4 linked regions of the Drosophila melanogaster genome follow. The protein of the gene in region 3 interacts with the protein of the main gene of each other region in a pairwise test. Each region holds a gene or a part of one and is shown on either strand. Other genes may lie near its edges. The genes, in order: Dora, Vsx2, CG17826 and Arr1.

The links.
Region 1: the proteins of CG17826 (region 3) and Dora interact in a two-hybrid assay, tested with the Drosophila melanogaster proteins (one large-scale study listed by BioGRID).
Region 2: the proteins of CG17826 (region 3) and Vsx2 interact in a two-hybrid assay, tested with the Drosophila melanogaster proteins (one large-scale study listed by BioGRID).
Region 4: the proteins of CG17826 (region 3) and Arr1 interact in a two-hybrid assay, tested with the Drosophila melanogaster proteins (one large-scale study listed by BioGRID).

Annotation. Positions count from the first base shown.
Region 1 is NC_004354.4:18,862,069-18,867,060, reverse strand, and holds the start of Dora (dorado), read right to left. Parts: upstream 3,112-4,992; 5' UTR 1,622-3,111; coding exon 1,342-1,621; intron 1-1,341. Other genes in the region: CG7326 (uncharacterized protein), read left to right, coding at 3,379-4,827. UniProt on the Drosophila melanogaster protein: Substrate recognition component of a SCF-like E3 ubiquitin-protein ligase complex that promotes target-directed microRNA degradation (TDMD), a process that mediates degradation of microRNAs (miRNAs).
Region 2 is NC_004354.4:5,557,000-5,562,389, forward strand, and holds the start of Vsx2 (visual system homeobox 2), read right to left. Parts: upstream 3,185-5,390; 5' UTR 2,964-3,184; coding exon 2,411-2,963; intron 1-2,410.
Region 3 is NT_037436.4:11,947,807-11,952,812, reverse strand, and holds CG17826 (uncharacterized protein), read right to left. Parts: upstream 2,975-5,006; 5' UTR 2,941-2,974; coding exon 2,913-2,940; intron 2,855-2,912; coding exon 627-2,854; 3' UTR 588-626; downstream 1-587. Other genes in the region: obst-G (obstructor-G), read left to right, coding at 1-414; CG7252 (uncharacterized protein), read right to left, coding at 3,607-5,006.
Region 4 is NT_033779.5:18,076,705-18,082,205, forward strand, and holds Arr1 (arrestin 1), read left to right. Parts: upstream 1-1,564; 5' UTR 1,565-1,683; coding exon 1,684-1,792; intron 1,793-1,944; exon of another isoform or gene 1,945-2,026; coding exon of another isoform or gene 2,027-2,093; intron 2,094-2,211; coding exon 2,212-3,019; intron 3,020-3,252; coding exon 3,253-3,382; intron 3,383-3,442; coding exon 3,443-3,490; 3' UTR 3,491-4,603; downstream 4,604-5,501. Other genes in the region: ninaD (neither inactivation nor afterpotential D), read left to right, coding at 4,961-5,089, 5,149-5,451. UniProt on the Drosophila melanogaster protein: Regulates photoreceptor cell deactivation. Arr1 and Arr2 proteins are mediators of rhodopsin inactivation and are essential for the termination of the phototransduction cascade.

The sequences.
Region 1 (4,992 bases), on a different chromosome or scaffold from region 3:
CCAACAGCATATGAACAAATAGATATTTGGCTAACTCCTCTGTTTATAGGAAGTAAAAGATTTGTATAACATAACAGAAAGATAAAAATGATTAAGATTGAGCAAAGTTCAGCTAGTTTTGCCTAGTACATATACTATATTTTGTAATACTAGTGCTTAGTATCAATAAATATCAATAAAATCAACAAGCTGGTAACCCTGGCTATCAAAGAATCCACAAAGAAGACAACTGAATGGTTGGAGGTTCTTTGGCGGCTTTGCCGCTCTGTTTAGTCCTTTGACCCTTCCAAATATAGTCCTGTTTCCCCCCACAGCAACACTGCTCAGTCAAACAAAGGAAAATAAGCAAACGAATGCAGTGGATGGGCAAATGACGAAGACGAATGGAGGATACGAAAGAGAAACAGCGACGAGGACGAACTGCGCAGTCGCAGCCAGATATCCAGATATTACATGATGATAGTGCTGTGCGGCGGCGCACAGGATACAGAAAACGTGTAAGGAACGTCTCTTGGCAGGCCCGAAACAAAAAAAAAAAACAATACCCCAGCCACATGCACAAGCGTAATGAGCCACAGGGAAAGACAAAGGGACGCAACAAAAAGGTAAAAAGGAAACTCGTATAAACGAATGAAAATAAAAAACGTTGGCAGCCAAAGTCGTGATTTTGACTTCAGCGATAAGCAGAGGACTTCGAGGAAATGCGGGGAAACGAAGAAGACAATTGCAGACAGAGGGCAACAACAATTACAGCCTGCTCGTTGTTGTGCCTAAGTCAATTTTACAGAATTTACCAAAAGCGAAAAGGTCATGCGTATAATTACAGGCAGCACAGTGTAGCCATATTGCAAATAGCCAAATGCGACCAAGCTAGTAAAACATAGAACTAAAGCATATCACTCTACTTAGCTTAAAAAGTAAATTGTGTAGCAAGTAATTGATTATTTAACGCTATACGGATATAAATCTGTATAAAATGTACATGTAAGTTTCTCATTGTAAAGGGAAAGTTATAGGTATAAACTATTTTGGTTGCCTTATGGTTTTAAAAACAATTAAGGAAGTCAATATCTTTTGTATGCGACATATGAAAGCTTCTTATGAGAAAGTCTTTCTTAATTCCTGAATAAAAGAGGATACTTTTTTGATATCTTTAGGACGCACACTTTTCGAACTCTAAAAACTGTCAATGTTGTACAATGTTTTTCGGATTTTAAGAAGCTCTCTTCAGTTTAGATTTGTATCTGTGATTTTCACAACTGTAGTTTCACTGGTGTAATGCTCAATGGTCCGGGTACACTGCCCTAAATCCCGCCCTAGCAACAAGGAGATGCTACTCACCATAATGTCTGCCGCAGGTGGATGTGTTGGCCATGGCCGTTCCATTGCCGCCCGGTGTGCAGGAACCAGAGGCTCCTGCTCCTCCGAACGGCGGTGCTCCTGAGCCGCCGGCCACAGCCATACCGCCCATGCCGCTCAAGCCGCCATTGCCTGCGCCGCTGCCTGCAGCGGGCTTCTTCCAGCCGCGCCAGTTGTTGCACAGCGATTCCGGTTCAGAGCTCCAGCTGCAGAGGGAGTCTTCCTCGAAGCGGATGGAGTCGTCGAAGCTGAAGCGGTCCATTTCCTCCGGATTCCATTCGTTGGCCGCTGCTCCTGCAGCGTCTCTGCCCGCCGCTCCGGCTCCTGCGCCGCCTCCTGCTGCTCCTTCGGCGCCAGCGCCGACTGCAGCCGCTCCTCCGCCTCCTCCATTGTTGTTGTTGTTACCGCCGCCTCCTCCTCCTCTGTTGTTGTTGCCGCCGTTGCGATTCGCCAGCGTGAGGCTGAGATTGTGTGTGTTTACAGTTGCTCCTTCTACTGCTGAAGCTGATTCTTGTTCTTCTTCTTCAGCTGCTCCCCCGTTTGTTTGTTTTCCTCAGCTTCCTCTTCCTCCGTCTCTCTCACTGTTACTCTCCTCTCTTTTTGGATGGATGTATATGTATAATGGATCTCTGCCAAACGCTCAATTTAAAATCGTGTAAAAGGCGAATTTCTCTTGAGCGTTCTTCTCTTCCTCTTTTCTCTCTCGCTGTGTTCCTCTCCTTCGGTTCTCCCCTTTCAAACTCAAGCACACTGCCGGACTCGCTTGCTTTTAATTAACTTATTAACTGTAGATTTATGCTTAGGGCTCTAAGTTTCCCTTTTAGACTTAACTTTAGGTTTAGATTTAGATTTTGGGGAGTTTAAAAACTATTTTTGTTTATATGTACAAAATACGTTCAGTGCGCCGCGGTCTCTGTCGCTGCCTCTGCCCGCGTCGACTGCGACTGCTATTGTTTGTTGTCGTTGTTGTTGCATGTGAACTTTTTCGTATCCCCCAACGAACGAGAGAGCGAGATGGGGCTATGCTATGCGACTGCCGAAATAAGAGGGCCAATTTGTAGTTGTAGTTCTTGTTGTTGATGTTCTTGCTTCTGTTATTATTGTTGATGTGGTTCTTGCTGTTGTTGTTGATTTTGCAGGGGACCCCCAGTCGTTGTTATTGTTGTTAACGCTCCTCTTTTATCCGCTCTGCGCTTTGCAGTCCGCTTTGCCGTTAATTATTTTTTCACTCCTTCGCTTTGTGGCTCATCTTCGCTTTATCCTGCGCGCACCGCACTCACTCTTTCTCGCTCGCCCTCACTCACTCACACAGCAGTAGCAGCAGCAACAACAACGTTGCACACAACATCAATATATTGGATATATATCAACACTTTTTCGCCTGCGTGCTTGTCAGTGTGTGTGTGCATGCGTGCGCTTGTCGATTTTCACTGCCTTCTTTTCTTTGTGTGTGTATATGCGCTGCGCGTTGTGTTTGTCTGCGTCTGTGCGTGTGTTAGGTTTACGTGTGTGTGTGAGTGAACGAACGAAATGCGTTTAGCGAACGTTTTTTTAAAAAATCCTTAAATTTTTTGTGGATTTTGGCGATTACCGACACTTAAAACGGCACTGCACACGCGTCCCCGAAAACAACGGCACCTAGATTCGCTGGCCGAGTTACGATTTGTTTGATGCTACGCACGGTTTTCGGACACTTTTACACGGGGCTTTGTTTTTACCCATCGCATCGTCGACTCTTTTGCTCCTAAACGTTGTTGGTGTTAGTGGTCAGCGATAGTGCTCACACACTCGATATGGGTTTTCGATCATTTTCGGCTGAATATTCGATAAGGTCAATAGTATCGGTTTTCCGCGTACGATTTCCCAGTTTTCAAATGACGGTCACACTGACATTCATTCTTGACAATCGATAGTTTTTGTCGAGTGACGCTCTTAATATCGAAAAACCATAAGTAACGATAGGCCCATTTTGTTGGTGGTGTTCACAATCTTCTCGCGCTTTCCCAGGAACTGGTCAAGATGCCCATCGCCGGGCTGTGCATCGAACTGCGCCCGAACCTACGCAGCGGCGTGGTCTTCCTGCGATTCGACCAACAGGTTTCGCAGAGCCAGAAGACTCGCGTCGTCGTCCGCGACTACAATGTTTATATCAGCGAGAAACCTAAGAATCAGGCAATCGACTTGGATTCCAGCTCCGAAAGCGACAGCGAGGACTCCGACAAGCTGATGCTCATCCGGCACGCGCAGTATGGTATGGACATTGTCTGCCTGTCCACGTTCTTGGTCAGTGGCAGGAACATCAGTTTCCGCTTCAACTACAACCAGATTGATCTGGCCAGCGTGGATGGAAGCGCTGTGGACGTGCCTCTGGCGCCACTACTCCTCTCCTGCCAGGAGAACGAGCCCATCACTATCAACTGTCGTGATTGCCGAGCGGAATTGGTGGCAGGCCGAAGCTATCGCAGGTTGAGGGAGTTTCCCAGCCTCTTGGTGGATCCCACTGAGTTCTTTTGCCACAATCATGGACCAGCGGGCAAGACCCAACCAATTAGCTTAGTGCCCGCCGAAACGGATCTTTTCTATGGCCTCAACTATGTGGTCATCAACTTTAACGAAGAAAGTTCGTGCATGCTCAATCGCGACGATCACTTGTACTGCCAGCGCTGCATGCGTTATTTGGGGCTGACCATGTTCGATGGCGCCGCCGCTCGCATCTGGGCTGATGCAGTACGTTGGCGTCCCGCAGGAGCGGCGACAAATGCCCCCGATCGCCACTTCTTCCAAAACTCCACGCTAACGCAGCTTTTCAAGCGTCTGCTGCACTCGCTGTGGCCTCAACCGTTGCCTCAGCTCTGTTTGAACACCAGTCGTGCGGTGCTGGTCACCTCGCTGCCCAACCGAAATCAGCAATACATGTTTTTGCACGTGGTGGAGTCACAGCTGCGTGTGCTGCGTCGCATTCGCCCAAATTCGAACCGACTACGCTGCTTTCGCGCCTGCAAGCTGTACTACGGCGTTTTTGGAGCCAATCCGCCGCTGCTGGAGAAGTGGCAGGCGCAGCAGACGCTGCCCCAAATGGATGTATCACCGAACATGTTCCTAAAGATTCAGAAGCGCCTCGAGACGAATGGCCACTTGATTCCGGACGCCTTGAGCACGAACTGTGCGGAGGAGCACCTGCAGTTGTCGTACTTCTTTTATGAGAACGAGGATCAACACGACGGCGGGGTCGTCGCTTCGGATGTGTTTACGGATCAAATGAGCAACGTGTATCAGAAGGAGGTGGATCCGTACGAGACGGATGCAGGACATGCCAGCGAGAGCGATGACGAGTACTCGGATACGGACACCGCTTCGGGGGACACGGCGGCTTACTCGCTCGGCATGCGTACCCTGCAGAAACGCAGCCCCACTCCGCCGCGGTCTTTCGCCAAAATGGCCACCTCCGCCTCGCCGGAGGACAAGTAGTGACCCAATCCGATTCAAAAATCAAGCATAGCTTGTATGTCGGAAACTATGTTACTTGTTTTCACTATACAAAGACGGACTTGGCCCAATAATTTGTCAAAGATATTTTTTTTTTAAAGTTAGCCCTTGATTGATAATCAATTCCATCCAAAATACTTTACTATG
Region 2 (5,390 bases), on a different chromosome or scaffold from region 3:
GCGAGTAAATTGTCGAAATCTTTGCAGCACAAGTGCACCAATACAAGGAAAATCTTGAATTGTATGTGTGTGTGGGGATGTGCAAACACATCAAAACGACTGTCACAACAAAGCGACGCGCGTAGCCAAAGTGAAAATTGTCAATTAAATGTGTGGCGGTGTGGTGTGCGAAGAAAAAGCGCTTTTCTTATTGTCGTTGGGCAACCAATTTTCCGATTTGGGTTTTCCCTTCTGGTAAAAGATCAAAGGCACTTAATGGAGGGCGCCAAGTACTCAGCTCTGGACAGGAAATCCGTCCGAAATCCGGCCAGAAATTCGCTCGCGATTCGACCAAACCTGATGCGATTTTTTAATTGACGAGCTGGCCACGCAAATGGGTATAAAATCAACAACGGATACCCGAAATATTCGTACGACAACGAAGCGAGTTGAAAATATGCAAAATTAAATAGGATGACGCGAATGAAAAGCAGAAAGCACGGCTAAACAGAACAGAAGAAAATGGGGAGTGAACTAATAAGCACGACTACTGCATACCCTAAAACATATAAGCCTTTCCTAATTTATAAGCTTTTACCACAGGCAGACCACTTTCTCTATCTCTATTTATGAGCACGACTATTACATACCCTAGAATATATGCTTTTAGCGGAGGCAACCCACTCTCTCTCATCATCGCAGAGCAACTCGCCCTGTTTATTGCACCAAAACTAATGAGCACAACTATTACATACTACATACATTACCACTATTTATAAAACCTTAACTAATTGGTCATAGTTTAAATTGTAATCCCAGTCTGCTAGCCCATACTACCCATAACTATTTAGCAGCTAAGAGCAGTGCTCTTTCCCACATTTATTAAACGCAAATTACGACGAAACTGTGGAAATGGGCGATAAACGGATAGGAGTATTGTAATTAAAATAACGCATAAACATCGAGCCAAAAAGAAAGCCGCACAACATGCGAAATCAATAAAAAAAAAAATAATAATAATAAGACCCCAAAAAAAAGGGTCCGGAAGTGTAGGGGTAAACAGATTTGAAATCAAGAAATCAGATTCAATCTACTCATATATGTATCTACATATCCACATAAGTTGAGTGAGTGCGCAGTGAAATTGGCACAGTGAATCAGTTGCAGAGCAATGGAAATCGGTGATGACGATGATGATATTTCAACGCTAATTAAAATAATAATAACAATAATAACAGCTGCCACTTGAATCTGCAAGATTATCTGCAGAGCCTCGCACTTTTCACAGTGAAAGAAATTTGGCTAAACGCTTCAGGATTTTGTTATTAATGCCATTCCAGATATAGTTCACAAATCCAATGAGAAATATAACAATTTGAAGTGCTTATGTTGTTAATCAACTGCTTACTTCTGGCAGCCAGCAACTAGTTCCTAGTTTTTTACCGTGTATCCAATCCCTGCACGGCTTTTCATGCCTTTCTGTTTATCTGCCTTCACTGTCATCGCTCCAACTTCGTATGATATTGCCACTTGCAAATGAGCTTTGAATCGAGAGAGACAGCAGGTCGACTCGAGTTCACTGTTAGTGTGTGGGATTTTCTTGCAGTGTGCGTGTTTCATTGCCTGTGCTGATCGCCAAACAAAGGCGCACCTACAGTGGCACAAAAGCGACCAAAAACCTACTCGAAAAGCATACCAAGCTTATTATAAATTGATTCGGATTTCCACTGATTCTAGAATTTTATTTAAACAATATGAAAACTAACTATTGTCGTTAGTGTGCCCAAACTATTGCAACAATTGTGAAGCCCAGTTTTTGCTATGCTCAAACCAGAGTGCAACACACACACAAACACTCACACACACACATCCACACACAGTGCAATTAGCAGCTCAACTTGAGTGGTGGTGCTTTGGATTGGAGTGGCTTCGGAGGCGGATTGCCGGATTGCCGGATCGGTGGAGCGGTGGTGCGGATGCGGGCGTTGTGTCGTTTGCAGTGGGGCCAAAGCTGATTTGGCGGACGATGGACCGCTGATTAATTCCTTTTTTATGCTAACTAAGCGGCACTCCAGACACCGATTCGCCCCACTGTGTGTGCGTGTGCGTGTGAATCGAATGTATCTGTATCTGAATCTGAATCTGTAAATGTATCTGAGCATGTGTATATGTGCGCCTGTGTTGGTGTGTCTGGCAGGTGACAAAACCAGTTGCGATTGCTAATTGCGTTTAAGCTTTGATTGTCAGTGTAAATACATCGAACAAAAGATTTTTAAAATCGCTATAGCGAAATATATGTAAGTTAGCTACGGCACTTTTCAACTTTCCCATGTTCAGTATATGCATAAATGAAAAAAATATATATATCTGTGTTTTACTAACTGCAATTAACTGCAATTTGAGTGGTTCGCTGGCGGGGACATTGGCTTACCCTGCGCGTGCAGCAGCGGGTGGTGCGGATGGTGGGGGTGGTGGTGCTGCATCGGCGGCGGCGGCGGTGGCCCGCCAACGGCTCCGTGTGGGTGGTGCGGGTGGTGGTGTGGATGGTGCTGGTGCTGATGCTGATGATGATGGTGCACCGCCGCGGCCAGTTGGTGGGGCATAAAGGCCGCTGCCACCGCCGCATGGGCATTGAAGTAGGCCATTCGCGAGGCGGCCGCCATGGTCATTTGGTGGTGCTCCCTGTACTGATGGTGGTGCGGCTGGTGGTGCTGCTGCTCTTGTTGCTGCTGCTGCGGCTGCTGCTGTGGCTCCGAAACGCTCGTTAAATTGCCTTCGGCCGCATTTGTTGGTGTTGCTGCCGTAGCTGCTGATGTTGCTGCTGTTGCCATTGTGGCATTTGTTGTCTTTGGCGGCGTTGGCGTTTGGCGCTCTTTTGCCACCGTTGCACCGGCAGTTGTCGTCAGATCGGTTGGCGCTTCTGTGGCCGCCGCCACCGCCAAGCCCAGCAGCTCCTGAATGGCAAATGGCGAACGCTGCGGCATTTTCGATTGCTAATATTTCGATTTACGTCTAGATATTGCCGTTGTCAAAACAAATCGCTTGAAAACATCATGCAGTCCCAATTGAGAAACCCAGAAAACAAAAAAAAAAACAAAGCAAAGGCAAGTTTTGCAATGTTGTAAAGACTACGCGAAATGGGATTTGCGAATGGAGGTTTTGAGATTTTGCGCTGGCACGCGTCGCAGAAAAACACACAACAAATTCGCAATAATTTCCACGTTAAACTGTTGCCTGCGTTAATGTGCACCAGGAGTTTTGTCGTCGCAGTTGCTGTTTCTGTTTGCTGTTGCTGTTGCTGTCGTGCTGTTGCTGCCGTTATGTTGCTGCTGGTGGTTGGCTTTCGACTTGGCTTTGCATTTCGCTTTGGATTTGGCCAAGGAGGCATTCAGCTAACAAACGGTAAACGGCCAGCGGAGCTTTGCTCTTCCGAGGACCTCAAATCGCATGGCAAGCGCAGCAGCAACATTTGCAGCAGCAGCAGCAACACCAACAGCAGCAGCAACAGCAGTAACGGCGGCAACGGCGGCAAAAGCAGCGCGCCGACAGCGACGCTCGCGTCGACTGCGCTGCCCGGCAACGGTAAATATTCAGGGGCGGTCTCTGTCGCACGCTAGCCGCACTCTTCGCCGCTCAGCGAGTGCGAGGGAGTCAGCAGCATATGGGCCTTCCCCTCGGCAACATGGCGCATGTGCGACATCCATTCGCCGTTAGAGTGAGGAGAGCAGCAAGCGCCTTCCAAGCACCATCTAGCCGTGCTCTTCTCGCACACGCGTAACCTTCCAGTTTTCCCGCGAACTTCCAGTTCGGACCGAAACGCATTAGTGTTGGTGCGCTGCTTGCCGTTGTATTGGTGCCCGATTGCCACAGTGTGCGGCGCCCATTTTGTGTGAGTGAAAGAGAGCCAGAGAGCGCAAGAGTGGGAGAGGGCATGGTCAACAGGGCTGGGGTGGCGCAAAAAAAGGCGCAAGAAAACAACTATTTCGCAGACCCGAACTCGAACTCGGAACTCCAACCGCTCTCCGTTCAATGAAGGACGCCAATTTATGGCCCAAAAAACGAGCCACCATTCGGTTTCCAGCTGGTAGAAACTACTCACTTGTCGGCCGCCTAACAATGCCTTTCCCTTCCCCAAAAAAAAGGCAGTCTAATTAAAATTTTCGCCAAAAACTTGTACTATTGAAATGCGTAAATTAGCATTTACACCACGTCCTGTGTGCATGAGTGTGTGCGTGTGTGCCAGTGGGAGAGTCCTTGCTGCGCAGTTTTGCAGGATTTCAAGAGATTTTGGGGTCGTGCTATGTGGGTTATTGTTCTCGGAGAAATGTCCCGAAATTCGGCAAAATAATTCGGCTTGATTTCGGCAGCAGTCGAAAAGTAGAGCTTGTAATGGACTTGCAAATTACTGCTAGGCAATTGAGGGACTTACAATTAACTCGGTCCCGAAAGGGATCTCCTACAAAAGGCCATACACAGATAGAAAAAACGTGTTGATATTTAATTCTCAAAAAAATATATAAATATATTTTGTTACGCATCGATTATATTCTATATACACGCATTGATTTCTATTTAAAGAAAATAAAGACACCAGCAATTGGAAAGCCACGATCAGTGGCAGGCAAACGGGTCTTTTGGGGCTTTTCTCACGCCCCCACACAGTGAGCTCTGCCTATGGAGAAACCCACGCGGCAATTAGACAATTGAAATGCCAACGCTCACACGGCCATCGCAGCGAAATCGGAGCGGATCGAAACGAAACGGAATCACAGATCATATATATGTATATACATATATGTATGTAAGTATGTACATATCCGTCGGGCCACGCAGTCTGGCATTTGGAAATAAAAGAAAGAGAGGCAACGTGGTCGTGCGAGAGAGAAAGAGAGCGAGGGAGAGAGAGACGGGGGCAGGCTGCAGAAAGGAAGGCAGCGAACGAAGAGTGCGTGCTAGAAGAATTTCGCGGGTAATTCGATATTTTCTTAAGCAGGTTGCCCCCGGAATGATTATGATTCATTCATTGGGTATGCGAGCTCTTTAAGGCGAAATTCGTTTATTTACTGGAATTTGATTGTTAATTAACTTGCAATTACAATCGCCGGGGGATCCTGTCAAAATAAATATTGAATTTCGCCGATGATTATGGGTAATCCGATATTGATGATATAGTTTTACTCTATTTCGCTGAGAACCATATAGTTTTCACCTGGCCATTAACCATTGGTTACAGTTCAATGTTGGCGATTTCTTGTTTTATTTCTGCTTTTTTATTTTTACTAAATCCACTGGCATGTCCTGCGAGTTTCCAGGAACTCGGACCTGTGTGCTTTTGTTTTGCAAATATTTTGACGTGCCAACGAAGGACTGACAACCCAACTACCTGGCCAAAGTCCGGCTATATATTCATT
Region 3 (5,006 bases):
AAGAACGGGTCCTGCCAGGAATATTATGTCTGCAAAGCAAAAAAGCCCCATCTGCGCTCTTGTCCTGACAAACAACATTTTAGTCCAACTCGTCGCATTTGCATGAAGGCCTCAGAAGCCAAGTGTTCGGGTGGAACCCGAGAAAATAAAGAATCAGATGGTCCTGCCACCACGGGAGGAGTGTGTTCAGATGAAAAGGAAAACTCTCTTGTTGCTCATCGCAGCGATTGTGGCAAGTTTATGCTCTGCAGCAACATGATGTTTTTGGTAATGGACTGCCCAACTGGCCTGCATTTCAATATAGCCACATCACGATGCGATTATCCCAAAATTGCAAAATGCCAGACGAAGCTAAATGAAAGCAAATCCAAGTCAAAGAAACCTGTGCGCAAGTCAAAAAAACGTCGATTCTAACTATATTTTTTTAAGACCCCAATAAAGTGCTTGAATTATAATAATTTTTAATAGTCCAAAGCCTAAACAGAGAAAATATAGCCACATCATATAGTACTAAAAATAAGGGGAATATTTTCTATTCTCTGCTTAGAATAAGTAGTTTTTATCTATAGAAAAACGAAAATCTTTTCGTTTAATACTCTGCTTTAAATATTGTTTATTGAAACCACTTAGCACTTAACATTATCGGGCCAATCGCAGGATTTGACCTGCAAATTGAACAAAAGTCCAGAGGAACAAGTGAAGTTCACCTCACACTCGCACTGGCAGACTACATAATTAGAACTACAATCTCCGCTGGCATCGGCGAACATGGTACCATCCCGCTGGCCAACGCATCGTCCGTGGCTCTCGCAATAAGTTCCCGAGGGTCCGGCAATCGGACCACTTGGCGGTGCAGATCCATCGTCGCATTGAACATTTTCGGGATAATCGCACTGCTCTATTATTGAATTGTATTGCAGGTTGTTGGAGCACCGCTGCTCATATTTGTTACCATTTACGCACTGGTAGAAGGCGGAGCAATTTTTCTCCACGGGCCAGATGGAATTGTTGGGCACATCGCAGCAGTCGGGATCGCAGGTTTTGGGAATGCACACATTCTCTGTGTCGACCTCGCATTCCTTCAGTGTGGTATTGAAGAACTGCGTAGCGGAGCACTTCCTGGCCACAAAGACTCCGTTTATGCACTGTAGGTATCCGGCGCAGTCCGCAGGATTCACCTTAACCTCATTCTCAGTGCATGTCGTTCCATTTCCGTTGCACTGACCATTATCCACATCGCAGACCTCTGACTGGCTGTTCCAGTAGTAACCACTGTCGCAGGACTTGGTCACATACTTGCCACCGGAACAGATCTCATACATGGTACAGTCGGCCAAGGGTTTTGTAGATCCCTCTTTACAATTGACACATATTCCCTCGTCGTCTTGTACACAAGTCTCCAGTGTGGCATTGAAGTAAGCTCCGTCGGCGCACTGCTTGCTCACCCAGTTACCGTTCGAGCAAGCCAAGTAGCCTGCGCAATTGGTGGGGTCCACCTTAAGTTCGCCATCAGTGCATGTCGTTCCATTTCCATTGCACTGACCATTATCCACATCGCAGACCTCTGATTGGCTGTTCCAGTAGTAACCACTGTCGCAGGACTTGGTCACATACTTGCCACCGGAACAGATCTCATACATGGTACAGTCGGCCAAGGGTTTTGTAGATCCCTCTTTACAATTGACACATATTCCCTCGTCGTCTTGTACACAAGTCTCCAGTGTGGCATTGAAGTAAGCTCCGTCGGCGCACTGCTTGCTCACCCAGTTACCGTTCGAGCAAGCCAAGTAGCCTGCGCAATTGGTGGGGTCCACCTTAAGTTCGCCATCAGTGCATGTCGTTCCATTTCCATTGCACTGACCATTATCCACATCGCAGACCTCTGATTGGCTGTTCCAGTAGTAACCACTGTCGCAGGACTTGGTCACATACTTGCCACCGGAACAGATCTCATACATGGTACAGTCGGCCAAGGGTTTTGTAGATCCCTCTTTACAATTGACACATATTCCCTCGTCGTCTTGTACACAAGTCTCCAGAGTGACATTGAAGTAAGCTCCGTCGGCGCACTGCTTGCTCACCCAGTTACCGTTCGAGCAAGCCAAGTAGCCTGCGCAATTGGTGGGGTCCACCTTAAGTTCGCCATCAGTGCATGTCGTTCCATTTCCATTGCACTGACCATTATCCACATCGCAGACCTCTGATTGGCTGTTCCAGTAGTAACCACTGTCGCAGGACTTGGTCACATACTTGCCACCGGAACAGATCTCATACATGGTACAGTCGGCCAAGGGTTTTGTAGATCCCTCTTTACAATTGACGCATATTCCCTCGTCGTCTTGTACACAAGTCTCCAGTATGGCATTGAAGTAAGCTCCGTCAGCGCACTGCTTGCTCACCCAGTTACCGTTCGAGCAAGCCAAGTAGCCTGCGCAATTGGTGGGGTCCACCTTAAGTTCGCCATCAGTGCATGTCGTTCCATTTCCGTTGCACACGCCGCAGGTATCTTCAACGCACCGATTTAGGGTCGAATTGAAGTAATCGCCATCTGGACAGGTCAGGATCACTATGATTCCGTCCACGCACTCTAAATAGCCGGCACAGTCATCTGGATTCGGTGTAATTTCTCCATCCACACAGGTTGGAGGTCTGCATTGACCATCATCCACGACACAGATATTTAACTCCGAATTCCAATAGGATCCGCTTGCACACGACTTGGATACAAATTCGCCGTGACAGCAGATCAGATACTTGGTACAATCATCCGCATCCACTTTTGTGTCGCCCTCCGAGCAGCACACAGCACTTGACGATCCCATAAAGAGGGAAATTATTAGGCACAGGGCCACTCCTGGGTAAAAACCGCGGATCAACAATCATCCTCCCAATTATCATTGCTCCGTCCTTACCATAGTGTTTAGTTCTGGATTGGGCCATCTTTGCACTCTGCGTATCGAATGCTCACTGATGAATCTTCGCTCGAAGATATCGCCTTTTATATTTACCGGCAATTAAAATAATTGAATGTCTCTTCCTGCATCAGAGCATGTGGCGGTGATAATGTCGAAACATCCGTGATACTATCAGCATATATATACAGTAGTAATACAAGCAATCGATATTGTCACTATTTATAAAACTCAGCGGTTCATTGTGAATCCGCGAAATCAAAGAGTCCAAAAGAAATTATTCTTCAGTTGCTATAAGATGCTCATATATGAGAAGTCTTAACGATCGATTGAAATTGAAATTTCAATGCGCCATAGTGCATATATGTATAAAGAAGAACAACTACTGATAGGTACTTACCTATGTGAACTAACTATTTTGAAGCTTTATATTGTGATAGCAGTGGTTGGACCAGCTACAAATTCCTACAGGAAACATACCCCTTCTTTATTAAAAAAAAAAAAATGGGTATTTATGTTCGATAAGCTCTTGCCAATCTCATTGAGTGCCGACACCTGTTGGCATATTCCCGCCACAAAACTGATTAAAATGATTTACTGATCCAATGTTTCATTAATAAATGGGCAGATTAGGCTACATCCTAGTAGTAGTAGTTGCTTTGATAATCACTTTCTTTATTTGCCAATCGGTCATTTAAAGAGTGCAGGTCACTTGGTTCTTATAATTGCAGGTCTGCAAGCTTTCGTCCCAATACAAGCCATCGGCGCACTCCATCTCGACCTCGCATTCACACTGGCAGACGACGTAATTGCTACAATTTGTGGTGGACTTTAAGTAGGTACCCTCACGTTGTCCCATGCAACGGCCATTACTCTCGCAGGCGATTCCCGAAGGTCCTGCATTGGGACCAGAGGGTGGGGTATACTCCCACGGGCAAACATAGTCCTGGGGGTATTCACATTCTTCGGTATTTGGGTTGTAGACCAAGTTGTTCGGACAATATTGCTCGACGGCGCAGTTGAAGTTACACTTGTAGAACATGTTGCACTTGCCTTCCACCGGAAAGAGTTCTCCCTCCGGCTGGTTTTGGCACACGGTGCTGGTGGTATTGCACTCCACCTTGGGCACATAGTTTTCAGGATAGTCGCACTGGTCTAAGGTGGCGTTGTAGACGAGGTCACCGTAACATTGAACCGCCGAGGAACCAATTGCGGATTTAGTGTCCTTAATCCAATCACACACTTGGGCCGTCTCGTTGAACTTCAGACCCTCGGAACAGGGCATCGCAATGGGGCACTGGCATTGGCAGACGAAGAATCCATTCGAATTGGGGTCCGCAATCATGTAGCCATCCCTCTTACCAGCGCATTCGCCCTGACTGGAGCAGGTGGTGCCCGATGGTCCCTCGATCTCAGTGGAGCCATCGGCGGTGGGGGTACAGTCCACATTCCACCAGTAATCGCAATCGTCTATCGCCGTGTTGAAGTACAGACCGGAGGGACACTGGAATTCCTCGGCACAACCATTGTTGCATTGGATGAACCTCACGCAGATCCCGGGCATATCTATATAGGTGCCAGTTTTCTGATTAACGCAATCCGTGCGGGAACTTTTGCAATACGAGGGCACCACACTTGGACTCGAAGGCGTGGTGTTGGAGGAGTTGTTGGGGTCATCGAAATCCGTTGTAGCATCCGTCGGCTCCGTGGAATCGGAGGGTTCCGTGGCTGAAGTGGTGGTATCCGGATCGCAGTCCTCGGTGACCGCCGTGGTAGTTTCATCGATATCGTCAATGGGATCCTGGCACTCCTCAGCACAGCAATCGCAGGTACACTGATCATCCACTTCGGCAAAGGCCGAGAGTCCCAAGCAATTAGCTCGCCACTGGAAGTCGCACTCCCTCAGCTCCCGATTGAAATGGAGTCCACGAGGGCAGCTACCGATAATGGAAACCTCTCCCTTCAGACAAACGACAAATCGGGAACAGTGGGTGGCCAACGGAAGTCTAGTGCCATCTTCCTGATTTTGGCACACATTCGTCAACTGGGCTACCACAGTTTGAAGACCTCCGATAAGCAGCAGAACGGTCCAGA
Region 4 (5,501 bases), on a different chromosome or scaffold from region 3:
CAGCTAGCTCAATTGCGCACAAATAATAAAGTCAACCTTTTGTGGTCGTTTGCAATTTTATTGTATTGCTATAATCTGCCATATAAAGGATGGTTCAACAGACCACATATGAATTTGAGATGGTGATGGGTTTTCAAAGTATCCGTGTGATAAAAACAAAGCTTAAATAGTTTTTGCTTTAAACGCGTTGCACTTTAAAGAAGTCCTTAGAAGGTCAGCCATGCACTCAATAATATAGCTTTGCATTGTATTTCTAGAAAAAATGTCCTCTTTTAAGACAAGTGCTCATATTTCTGATATGAGTTTAGACCTATAGACGGATTGAATGTAAAAACTCTGAACGCTTTTCTAACAGAATCTTAAGAACACCTCATTTAGTAACATATTGCCATTTTTCAGGACAACACCGTGGCCATGCCTCCCGGAAAGTTCACTTGTAATGTATTTAAATGAGAGACATGCCCATAACCAGCGCCGTTTTCCTACTGGCCCACACGTCGTGAGTGCAAAAGTTTTGCTATTATTAAGGGCCTCATTGTCGGTTTTGTTGGACCCTTGGCGACTGTCCGCCGACACTTTCCCGCACTTTCCCGCCACATTTTCACACACGAAAAGGGGGGATGTAGTTGGTGGAAAACTCCGCCCCACTTGCTCGACTGTCCGGTCCCCAACCACACAATAAAGAACAATATATTTCACACAACTTTGTTCATATTTTTAATGTCAGGAGTATAATTATTACGTTCATTGACTTTGTTAAGTAGCCTACTTTATGCTAATGTGATTTCATAGCACAAAATGGAAATGGCAAATGGTGAGAGGGCCAGCAGCTTTGCATAGAATATTTTTACATAATTGAATGTGCAGGTCCTTCAACTGACAGTTACTGGTAAAGCTTAAGTTCTTATGTGTCATTATATATATACACATAACGTCTAGATTCGTTGGGAAAAATTGATTTAAATGTTTAATATAATTCAAAGAAGAATATTATTACATCTAGCTTGAAATGGGATCCTTCACCAATTATTTTGAAAATTCCGAAGCAAATACTTGGAATACTTGGAATTTATTAAGTACCTCGTTGTTATAACTAGTAGTTGTCTCCAGTTAACATAAAGCTATTATAAATGTCATAATAAACAACCGCTTATCAGTACTTAGCCGACGAGTGCTTAGGGCTCAATTAAATTAACAACAATTACGTAAATGGAAAAGAACAAAACCCACCACGTAATGTTTGGGTTTAAATACGTCATCCTAGGCGGAAAACAACAAACCAAAATACGCATACTAAATCGATTTCTCGAGCTATTTCTGTACATTCACCTGTCCTGCATTGCTAATACGCCGTGTTGCTCGCGCGTTATTTAATGTTTGAGCCATCGATGTCGATGTCGTGCTGCAATGTCAATATCAAAGACACTGCGCACAGCAAGGTTGCCGAAGCCGTAGTAGTTTACCGCCGTGCAATTGCTGAATTTCTGCTGTGCGGCTAATTGAATTTAGAGGGGCGACAGGTGCCACAATGCCAGGTATAAATGCCGGATTGCCAAAGAGCGCTAATTAATAGCCTAGTGGACCACGCAACGCGGCGTATACCATCGAGAACGAGCGCGAAACGTTAAAGGCACATCCAAAGTTTAAACTATTTCCGCAGAGATTTTGATAAACAGCTCCAAAATGGTGGTCAATTTCAAGGTGTTCAAGAAGTGTTCCCCGAACAACATGATCACGCTCTACATGAACAGGCGTGATTTTGTAGATTCCGTGACTCAGGTGGAACCCATTGGTAGGTGTCACAGACCGAAACCCTTGAGCAATGGGATTTACGAATGAGGAAATCCATCAAAAAATAAATTCGTGTAGGAATTGGTACCCATATTCGATTGAAGTATCTTATAGTTTGAAAATAACTTCAGTGTAACTTTTGTTTCAACTTAACACATTGGAATTTTTAATACCTTCCTTGAAAAGTGATATCAAATCAAAATTATATTATAAAAACTCCATTTCGAATCTGCATATGCCGACCAGCAAATATAAACTCAGGGAGTTATTCAAAATTGCATCTGAATTCAATAGCCCAGGGAGTTAAGTTAAATTGGCTGCGCTAGCAGCTAACCAAGTTCATCGATTACGCGAGCAAGCAAACCAAGAGGCTGGGCGCTTGTAAATAATATTCTCCAATTAATAAGCGTCCTCTTGCAGATGGAATCATTGTGCTGGACGATGAGTACGTGCGCCAGAACCGCAAGATCTTCGTGCAGTTGGTCTGCAATTTCCGATATGGGCGCGAGGACGACGAGATGATCGGTCTGCGGTTCCAGAAGGAACTGACCCTGGTCTCGCAGCAGGTGTGCCCACCCCAGAAGCAGGACATCCAGTTGACCAAGATGCAGGAGCGTCTGCTGAAGAAGCTTGGCTCCAATGCCTATCCCTTCGTGATGCAGATGCCACCAAGCTCGCCGGCCTCGGTGGTTCTCCAGCAGAAGGCCAGTGACGAGAGCCAGCCCTGCGGAGTCCAGTACTTCGTAAAGATCTTTACCGGAGACAGCGACTGCGATCGATCGCATCGCAGGAGCACCATTAACCTGGGCATCCGCAAGGTGCAGTACGCACCGACCAAGCAGGGCATCCAGCCCTGCACCGTCGTTCGCAAGGACTTCCTTCTGTCGCCCGGAGAGCTCGAACTGGAGGTCACCCTCGACAAGCAGCTGTACCATCACGGCGAGAAGATCTCGGTGAACATCTGCGTGCGCAACAACTCCAACAAGGTGGTGAAGAAGATCAAGGCCATGGTGCAGCAGGGCGTCGATGTGGTCCTGTTCCAGAACGGTCAGTTCCGCAACACGATCGCCTTCATGGAGACGAGCGAGGGATGTCCCCTGAACCCGGGATCCAGCCTGCAGAAGGTCATGTATCTGGTGCCCACCCTGGTGGCCAATTGCGACCGCGCAGGCATCGCCGTTGAGGGTGATATCAAGCGCAAAGACACAGCTCTGGCCTCGACCACACTGTGAGTAAAATTTATTCACATCATAGCTTAGCAGATGAAACATTAATATTATACTCTATTAAGTATCAACTTAAAATCATACCATAAAATCAATCAAATTTTAAAGTTAGGAACCTTTTTAAAAATCGTATTTTCCCGGTGACTAACAGTTCTTTAGCTAAATGTGTTTACAAAATGGCATAAAACGCATACTAATACTAAGTGAAAAATGCATATTTAAAATTCTATTTCAGTATTGCCAGTCAGGATGCGAGGGATGCCTTTGGCATAATTGTTTCATATGCTGTGAAGGTCAAGCTTTTCTTGGGAGCCCTGGGCGGCGAGCTCTGCGCTGAGCTACCATTTATTCTGATGCACCCGAAGGTAATAAAAGGTGTGCCCAAATATTTGAATAGTTATTGAAAGGCAATCAATTATTTACAGCCAAGTCGCAAGGCCCAACTGGAAGCCGAGGGCTCCATTGAGGCCTAAACTGAAAGGGCTACCTCAACCAACGAAAAAAATGGCGTATTTCTACAAGTCAAACCGATTTTTGTAGATCCTAAAAAATGCTGATGTTGCTGAAATGTTCTGAACTGCAGTCGTCGTACTTTTCCTATATAGCAAATCCAATATCCATATATTGTATGTGTGTATGTGTATTATATTTATAACTCAACTAACAATTAAATATGAACAGAGTTTATGTATGTATTTTGGAGTATTCTATTGAATTTAGCACGGTGTATTTGAAAAGGCTCCAGCATTGAAAGTTTGTATGGAATGCGCACTAAATATTTAATAATGTGCTTACGAAGGCATTTCGTAGTATTTGATATCTTGCAATGTCTGCTGATTATGTACATTGAAGTGCAATGGGGAAATCAACAGAAGCCAGTGCAATCTATTCAATTACTAATAGTGGGTCTTGCATTTGTGGCTTAGTAATTCCAATTATTGCTACTCTGAAAAGCCGAGGAGCAGCCTAATTAATACTTGGCCACTATGCTGGAGGAAGTTTACTGAACTGAATTCGAGTAAGGAAAATGGACAATAATTGATATAATATGGTGAGCTTCTTGCTGGACTTTGAAATCGTAAAATTTAAGCGAACACACTTCAAACGCATCCATTTAATTTGTGAATGTTTGCAGTCCCACTTTTAATAAGCACCCAATATTAACGATAACGCCACTCTAATCAAAATTTTCCAATAGTCAGGGTTGAAATACTGATCAATCACGCTGCCAACATTTCGGCAGACCAGGTGGGTAATGAGTTTAAAATGGTTTTGCGTAATGGGATTAATCGAATTTCATTAAGGAAGATTAGATTGCCGTCTTTGGAAGTGATCTTTTATAGTGGCTGACCATAAAAATTGCATTGCAAATACTAATTTAAGCATACATGCTATATAACCGATAAGATGGGCGAGCGTCAAGGCAAAAATAGTTGACCGTATTAATAGTTTAATCAACTAGCTTCAAGTTAATTTATAATGCGAATTAGGAAGCACTCTGGCATGCTATTAAAAACTTAAGAACTGATAAACGAAACTTAATTCCTAAAATAAAAATGTACCTAATTACTTTTATATACTATTATAAATAAAATTGTACCATGTATCGTTAAATTTGATTTAGTTACCAAGTGGTATTTGGTACGTGGCAGCATGAAATAGCTACTACTGCTAGTCTGGCTGATTAGCCAGCACTCTCAATAAACTAAGTGCAGCGTTTTGCATTTATCAGGATTTTTGGTACTCTAAACACACACTTAGATCCCAATCACCCCACAGAATAAGTTGAGCAAACCAAACCGAGCTGATTACCACAGTAGACATGATGATTAGCCGCTGCTTTATTTACTAGTGGATAATCTACTAAGCGACGCATGAATAAAAACTCGAGCGATATTTTTCCACTTTGCAGTCGCTCGAAAGCCTTTGTTTCGTCTCTCAATATGTGCTGCAGCTGCTGTGGGGTGACCCAACAAAAGGCCTGGGTCTTCGGCCTGGGAACCTTTTTCGCGGTCTCCGGACTCCTGGCCATAATATGCTGGCCTGGCTTTATAGACTCAGGGATTATGAAGGTGAGAGGCGGTGTATAAAAATAAAATTAAGGAGGAGTACTAATCGATTTATTAAAAAGGCCTTGCCGTTGACACCCACTTCAAAGACTTTTGAAAAATGGGAGGAGCTGCCCATTCCGGTGTATGTCTACATGTATCTTTGGAACTGGACAAATGCCGCAGATGTGCAGGCTAATGGAGTAAAACCTATTTTCGCGCAACTTGGACCCTATGTTTATCGAGAGGAGAGGAAGAAGATGGATCTTGAGTGGCACGACAATGGCACAGTTACCTTTAACCCCAGAAGAACTTGGTTCTGGGAAGAGGAGCTCTCTGGCGGCAAGCAAACGGATTTAATTACCGCCCCACATTTACCTTCATTGGTAGGAAATAAGCAGTTATTAAAAAACAATTTGGTCTAAAAGAAGTTTTC